Arabidopsis thaliana: one gene and its partner. The main gene of each other region encodes a partner of the protein of the gene in region 2 in a complex. Each region holds a gene or a part of one and is shown on either strand. Other genes may lie near its edges.

Evidence for each region.
Region 1: SUF4 (region 2) and FRL1 share a complex: the UniProt entries of both Arabidopsis thaliana proteins name them as parts of the transcription activator complex.

Annotation. Positions count from the first base shown.
Region 1 is NC_003076.8:5,342,372-5,346,297, reverse strand, and holds FRL1 (FRIGIDA like 1), read right to left. Parts: upstream 1,804-3,926; 5' UTR 1,792-1,803; coding exon 379-1,791; 3' UTR 192-378; downstream 1-191. Other genes in the region: AT5G16330 (NC domain-containing protein-like protein), read left to right, coding at 1-135; UCH1 (Peptidase C12, ubiquitin carboxyl-terminal hydrolase 1), read left to right, coding at 2,145-2,175, 2,577-2,670, 2,760-2,862, 2,943-3,719. UniProt on the Arabidopsis thaliana protein: Required for FRI-mediated up-regulation of FLC transcripts, but not redundant with FRI and only partially redundant with FRL2. Required for the stabilization of the FRI-C complex.
Region 2 is NC_003070.9:11,041,987-11,045,912, forward strand, and holds the start of SUF4 (zinc finger (C2H2 type) family protein), read right to left. Parts: upstream 1,788-3,926; 5' UTR 1,608-1,787; coding exon 1,414-1,607; coding exon of another isoform or gene 1,410-1,413; intron 963-1,409; coding exon 862-962; intron 627-861; coding exon 497-626; intron 31-496; coding exon 1-30. Other genes in the region: AT1G30972 (Plant thionin family protein), read left to right, coding at 2,685-2,924. UniProt on the Arabidopsis thaliana protein: Sequence-specific DNA binding factor that recognizes the 5'-CCAAATTTTAAGTTT-3' sequence. Recruits the FRI-C complex to the FLC promoter. Required for FRI-mediated FLC activation, but has no effect on the expression of MAF1, MAF2, MAF3, MAF5, UFC and CO.

The DNA of each region.
Region 1 (3,926 bases), on a different chromosome or scaffold from region 2:
CAACTTAGTCCTTTCGGCAGCAAAGCTATTCAGCTATTTGCAGATATTGGTATGAGAAAGGATGCTATTAAGGTGCCCGTCGAGAGCCTCGTTCCTCGCGCATATGCTACTGGTACCTCTAGAAATAGAAGGTGATGAGGTTTGAAGACACGCCAACGGGCGGGTAGGCGAATTCTTCGAAGAATCTATAATGTAGGAAACATGATCCAATATTGTAGAAAAATTCACTACTATTCTATATAAACCAAAAAAACAAAGAATGAGATTCCTCAGACATAGAGTTAGAATGATTTTTTTACTTTCCATCAAGGCAAATATTCTACAAAGATAACATTTTACATTGAGGAGATTAAGATCTTATTGTCGAGATGCAGCTAGCTACTGAGAATAATAAGGCGGGTGGTATTGAGGCGGCAACACATATCCAGTTTGCTGAGCATAGTAAAGAGATTGAGGAGTTGCACCTGAACCAAAGAGCCCAGTTAATGGGTTCACAACAACACCAGAAAATGCTGAGGTCATAAGACCATAAGGGTTCAACTGTAAGCCATGATGACTATGCTCAGGCATAAGAAGAGCTTCTGGTCTAGAAAGTAGCTGCTGACTCGGAACTGGAACTTGTGACCCATTTTTGCAGTCTCTAGTCCGCTTTTTCCCCTTTTGCTGTGGCTCTTGCTTGGGAGGATTAGTCGTGTTGCGTTTCCTCAATGCCTTATTTTTCTCCAGCTCTTCTACACGTTCCTCAACTTTCTCCTGAGTAAACTCTGATTCAAGGTTCTGATCTTTGATGATTTTGATCAATGGTTTCAAGGCACTGACTTCTTTATCAGAGGCTTCGTTCTGCGACTTGAGAGAGTAGTTATCTTCCACGCAAACTCTAAGAGCAGCTTCTCTACAGTCCTTAATGTAAGATTTCAAAACAGGGATTGGCTCAAATTCATCAGTCATCCCACACTCATACATGAATTTGACTGCTAAAATTGGTTTACCAGAATCCAAGAGAGTCTTGATGAGTTTCCCAACTCTTTTCCTATCTACACCAATCTTGTTACAAACCAAAGTTGCTTGCTTATACTTAGCGATCATGAAAACGTAATCAGAAAGCTCCTCTGTGTCAAATTCTGATCCTAATTCAAAAGCTGCGACCAAATGCAGAAACACTAACGCCTCGAAAGGCTTGACACCAACCTTAGATTTCCAATGGTAAGCCAGTTTCTTAGCTCTATTTCTCGTATCAACAGTGATATTCGCATTGATCTCAATCAAAACTTCCATTAACAAAACGAAAACTCTCCTTACATCGAATGATCTTCCCGATGATGACGGTGTGTAGTTCGAACCTTCAATCGCGTCAAGCACCATGGACGCCGTATCCGGAGAGTAACGAATCGCTGCAGAAACTTCCTGATTGAGAGGAGTTTCATCATCCCATATCCTAATCAAATACTTAATCAAACCAATTCCGTCAATCTTCTCACACAAGGCTCTCAACTCCGGCTCAACAACGGGTTGCTCCGATACCTCCTCCGAAGACGACGATTTCCCTGCATCAGAAGCGTCGATTCTATACGAATCATGTTCCAAAGGAGATGTAGAGTGGAGGAGGCGGAAACGGCTAGCAAGGGAGGATTGGAGAGAGGAAAAGTGAGAATCGATCTCAGACCAGGAAAGTGAGAAAGACGGTGAAAGGAGAGAGCGATGAGCTTGAAGATCGTCGAAAGCTTTCTTTAGCTTTTCCTTCTTCTCATCAATCTGATTTATCGCGGTGGCGATAGTCTCACTCGCCGTCATTGTTTGATCTCTAAGATTTCTTTGGCTCTCTCCGGCAAGGATATATAAGAACGTTATCGGTTCGGTTCGGTTCGAGTAAGTTTAATAAAACCAGAACCGAATTGTTTTTCACTTGATTTGGTTCGATTTATAGAAATTGAAATGGTTTGGATGAATTCAATTTCGTTTCTACTCGGTTTAGAGCGACCTCTATTAAGACAAAATCGAGACCACACCAGTCTATAGTCTCTCTTTCGAGTCTGCAGCTAGCGTGAAGACGATGAAATCGATGGGAGGAGATAGATAAGCGCGAATTTGAGAGTGAAAATTCTAAATTCAGACCCATTTTCACCGGCGCGAGTCATCGTTGAACCATGTCTTGGCTTCCTGTAGAATCTGATCCTGGTATATATTCTCTTTAACAATTTGGGGTTCCTGTTTTCTGGATATATAAAGAGATGATGTCAGTAACGAGGTTTTGATAGTGGAGCACTAAAAATGTTTGGAAAATAGTCTTGGCTTCCTGTAGAATCTGATTTATGTTTGGATTTTGTCAAATTAGAAGCCAACAAATGTTGAAAATAGTCTTCTCTGCATCTACAAGAGGTGATACTTACTGTGTGAGGATTGGAAAATAAAAGTATTGATGCTTTTTGAAATTATATATCAACAATGGTGTTTGTCTTATACTAAGTGGATTAGTGTCTCTCGATAGCCATTGTGCCATATATGTGAGTAAGACCAATGTCGCTTTCTTGTTTGTTATTTCTTCATATTTTTTGGTTTTCTGTATTCTATATTTTTAGGTATTTTCACTGAGATTATACAACAAATGCAAGTGAAAGGTGTGCAGGTTGAGGAATTGTATTCCTTGGACTTCAACTCTCTGGATGAAATAAGGTAGTTTACTTGTTACTCTTTCATCTTCTATTGTTCGAAACAGAAGAAAAACAAAGTCAAATTTACCTTGAGTTGTCTGATATTTGCAGACCTGTCTATGGATTGATATTGCTTTACAAGTGGCGTCCAGAAGAAAAGGAGAATCGTGTTGTCATCACAGAGCCAAACCCGAATTTCTTCTTTGCAAGCCAGGTCTTTTACTCTCACATTAGATTTGTGACTCACGGATTTTCCAATCATTACCTTTTTTATAAACTATGTGTTTCTTGCAGATAATCAACAATGCTTGTGCGACCCAAGCGATATTATCAGTCCTCATGAACTCTTCGAGTATTGATATTGGCTCAGAACTATCAGAACTGAAACAATTCGCCAAAGAATTTCCTCCTGAACTGAAAGGTTTAGCCATCAACAACAATGAGGCAATACGTGCAGCTCACAACACATTTGCCAGGCCTGACCCGTCTTCCATCATGGAAGATGAAGAATTAGCTGCTGCGAAAAATCTAGACGAAGATGATGATGTGTATCATTACATCAGCTACTTACCTGTTGATGGTATCTTATATGAGCTCGATGGTCTTAAAGAAGGACCCATTAGTCTTGGACAGTGTCTGGGTGAGCCAGAAGGAATCGAGTGGCTCAGAATGGTCCAACCTGTGGTACAAGAGCAGATTGACCGGTATTCGCAGAATGAGATTCGGTTTAGTCTCTTAGCTGTAGTTAAGAACAGGAAAGAGATGTATGTAGCTGAACTGAAAGAGTATCAAAGAAAGCGAGAGAGGGTTTTGCAGCAGTTAGGTGCTTTGCAAGCTGATAAATACGCTGAGAAAAGCAGTTACGAGGCTCTTGATAGAGAGCTTTCGGAAGTCAATATCGGGATAGAGACTGTTTCACAAAAGATTGTAATGGAGGAGGAGAAATCTAAGAACTGGAAGAAAGAGAACATGAGAAGGAAACACAACTATGTCCCTTTCCTCTTCAACTTCCTCAAGATTCTTGCTGACAAGAAGAAGCTGAAACCTCTCATTGCTAAGCACCATCCCTAAATCTGCTTTACCGGGATGTTAACTTGATAGAAATCAGATGTTTTAGTGATCTGAATACTGTGGTGGCGTGGTTATATGTAGCCAAACTTTAACTTGATGGAAGTCAGATGTTTTAGCGATCCTTGATTGTAATTGGTCTGAGGATTATGTTGAACCAAATCTTTTTTTTTTACTTAATTACATGTTCCTTATAAAAGAAGCATATAA
Region 2 (3,926 bases):
GGATGACGCATAGGAGGACCCGGATAATACCTGCTAACACGAAATATTTTATCATGGTCAATAGCCATACATATTACAATATCTAAGATCATGAACTATTTCAAAAAACTGTTTACTACAGGTGTTATTGTGGTCTTGAAGAGGAGCAAAAGAATGGTTCTAGGACAAAGTTCTATCCTGAAAAATCACGAGAACAAGCTAGGGAAACTAAGAACCTTATGGGTCATAGTTGGTTAAGTGCAACAATATCTTAGATAACGATCTATTTCAAAAAATGTTTACTACGGGTGTTATAGTGGTCTTATAGAAGAACAAAAGTAGAAAAGTTCTAGGACAGAGACAAACTAAAGAAACCAAGAACCTTTTGCATCAAGAGAACTAAAAGAAAAAAAGTTCCCCATCATTTAGCATGGATCGGATTTTTAAAAACAGAGACAACATCTAAGAATTCAACAAGTAACGGCCATAGAGAGAGTATAGTATAATTAGTACATACATTGGTCGTGCAGGTACAGCACCAGGTACTTGTTGAGGCGGATATACCATTCCATATGGTCTAGGAACTACACCACCAAGAGGGGCAGAAGGAATCTCAACTTTTGCAACTTTGGCTGGAGGCTCATCCTCTGCAGAAAACATGACTTCAGTTCAAAAGGTACCATATGAAACAAGCAAACATAACAATAATATATAATAACTTTGATAAGGCAAAAAGCCGCATGCAAAATCAAAACGAATTCATGACCACTAGATGCAATAGATCTACAACACTTGATGAAGAGACATACAAATTTATCGCCTTACTTCTCTAAATCAATTGCTCATAATCTAAACAGTACTCTCACTATCTCAAATGCATACCTTCTTCTCCATAATGAGCAGTCAAGACATGGGGTGGAATTCCTTGCATTCCATATATTTCAATATCAGTTGAATCTCGACCGTCTTTAGCATTAGGAACTCTGGTGTGAAAATTGTAGATAATTTCAAAGTTAGTAGTGTCATGGAATCAAATTCCAAATTCAACAGGCAAACACATTGAACAGTACCACAAATTCCAAGAAAAACCTATCAAGCAAAAGCAAAAGCAAAAGACTGTTTCTTTACAAAAATTGCAATCAGAAATTAGGGTTTATGACCAGACATATACAAATTAACCAAACCCATTCAAGAGATAATCCAAAAAAACGATTCAAATTCCAGCAAACATACACAATCAACCGATTCAAACCACAACACAACAGTCACAATTAGCGCAATCTAACAGAAATCAAACGACAATCACACACAACAAGAGCAAAAAAAAAATCAGAACTTGAACAAAGATCATAGAGGCAACAACCCTAATATTCCAAATCAACCTAACACAACAAAAAGAGCCATAGGGAAAGGGTAAAAAGAAAAGGCACATACTTTGTAACATTCTCTTTATGAACCTGAAGAACATGAATCACCATGCCACTAGCTGTAGAAAGCTTCTTATGACAGACATGACACTTAAAGTGCTTAGCTTTCTGATGCTGCACAAGAATCTTCTCATCATCAAACTCTCTATCGCAGTAATAACACCACACCTTCTCTGTAGCTCTCTTCTTCTTCTTACCCATCACTAAATCTTTCTCCTATTTGTTGATTTCAAGATTTGATCTCAAAATTGAAATCTCCAATCTCTCAAAAGTCTCGTTCTTTGTCTCCTTCCTCCGCTCGCTAGGGTTTCTAATTGGTACAAAGCGTTTTCTCGATTTCTTCTACGATCTTCAGATTCTCTGTTTTTTATTTATTTTTACTTTATCTAATGGTTACTATCTTGTATTTATAAGAAAAGGTACTTTCTTGTGTAATATTTCGTAAAGAACCCATAACTCTTGTTTAATTATATATTTTTCCAAAATGCTTAGTAAGTTATATAATGATACTATTAGTATTGGTTATGTTATCCGTTAGGATGGTCAAGTGGTCTAAGAGCAACCTCATTAGACAACTTTTTATAGATGTTTTTAGTATAAATAAATAATAAAATTAAAGACATTTCACTTTTGTTGTGTTTAAAGTGTCTCTACAGAAACACAAATCTCAAACTAAAAACATTCATAATTTTTTTATTATTATTATTTATAGTTTTATATTTAAAGACATCTACATATAAGTGACCAATGTGGATGCTCTAAGGCCTTAGACTCAAGTTTTGGTCCTCGTAAGAGGGTGTGGGTTCAAACCCCACTTCTGACATAATTTTTTATTCTTTCAAGAGTTAATTTTCTTTGTCCAATGAAATCTCAAATTAACTTAATCTCAAATTAACTTAAAATAAACTGTGAGAAAACAGAAGAAGATTAACCAACAAAGTAAGTAATCTCTCTTACAAAGAAACTTTGACCAGAAAAAAGGAATCCATGTAACAGATAAGAAGAAGAGACTATAAGAGCTAAGAATTACATAACTATTAGAAAAGATTATAAATAGAGAAAAAAACAGAAGAAGATTAACCAAAAAAGTAACTAGTCTCTATTACAAAGAAACTTTGACCAGGAAAAAAAAAGAAGAGCAATTCCTATAACAAATAAGAAGAAGAGACGATAAGAGCTAAGAATTAGATAACTATTAGAAAAGATTATAAATAGAGGATAGCTATTCATTATTTCTTAAGTACATGAAACACTTGCAACAACAAAAAAGTTAAAGATATGGGTGCTAAATGGAATTCAATGATTATAATGGTGTTTGTGGTGACAATGGTTATAGCAATGGAAAATGTCAATGGAGAGACGAAAGCTCAATGCCATGAAGATTGCATTCTAGGTTGTGCCACCACAGGAAGAATTCCGATCACGTGCCTTCAGAATTGTTACCGTCGATGTCCCGGCAAACCTCGTCGTACATTAGGTAACCATTTTTCAGAAGGTAAAAACAAACAAACAATCTAACAATTTTGGAAATATGTCAAAGAAAATCTATTTTAATGATTATTGAGATTTTTACTAACTATATAAAATATATTCCCCTTTGTATAAATAAATTTGAAGTAAGTTTGACTAGTGTAATAATAATAATAGATTAACAATGGAATGTTCAAATGATTGAACGGTATGCTAATGTTTCGAAAATGTGGTGAAAAATAAAATAGCAACATAACGTTTTGAAATAGTAAAATTTTGAGATATATTTCGGTAATAAAGTGTTTTAAATCTTAGAAACATCATTGTCACTGTTTAGGTATACATATAGTCCTGAAAATATTATTTTTTAAATTAAACTCAAGAGATTATTTGGAAAAACTAAAGGTTAAAATAATCGATGGTTCTAATTTGTATAGTGGAAGCGCAGAAATAGAAGAGACGATGAGTCATGAATCAGTGTTGGACTCTTGGGACTTTTAAACTAGCTCTTCTTCTACTTTTGTATCCTCCTTATGTAATATGATCATTGTAAATTTGTAACGCTATTAAATAAAATAAAATAAAATTTGTCCCATGTTATAAATTTCTCTTGACTGTAAACACGTCTCTGTTTAACAGTTTAAGACTCCTCTTAGATTCGAATCTCATATTTCATAATTTTGGAAGTGACATGTAGCGGCTTATTGATTTTCTTGATTCATATTTTTTATTTTAGTTATTTCAAAGTGTGATACCTTGTGGATAAAGCAAAATCCATATGACCATATTTACATGAGACAAAAGTGAAACCATCTATGTTCAGCTTCAAGAGAAAAACACTTTGTTTCAATTTATACATTTAAAATAAAACTGCCACTACTACGTTTCTCCTATTGAAGCAAAATTGGCTCTCACTTGTTTTGCCGTTTCTCTGTGCTTAAATCCGAAGCTTTTACATTTTTCTACAACTTGTGCAATGTTTGTTTAATTGTACATTTTAGCTAATGGTTACTCTCTTGTGTTTATAAGAAAAGGTACTTTCTTGTGTAA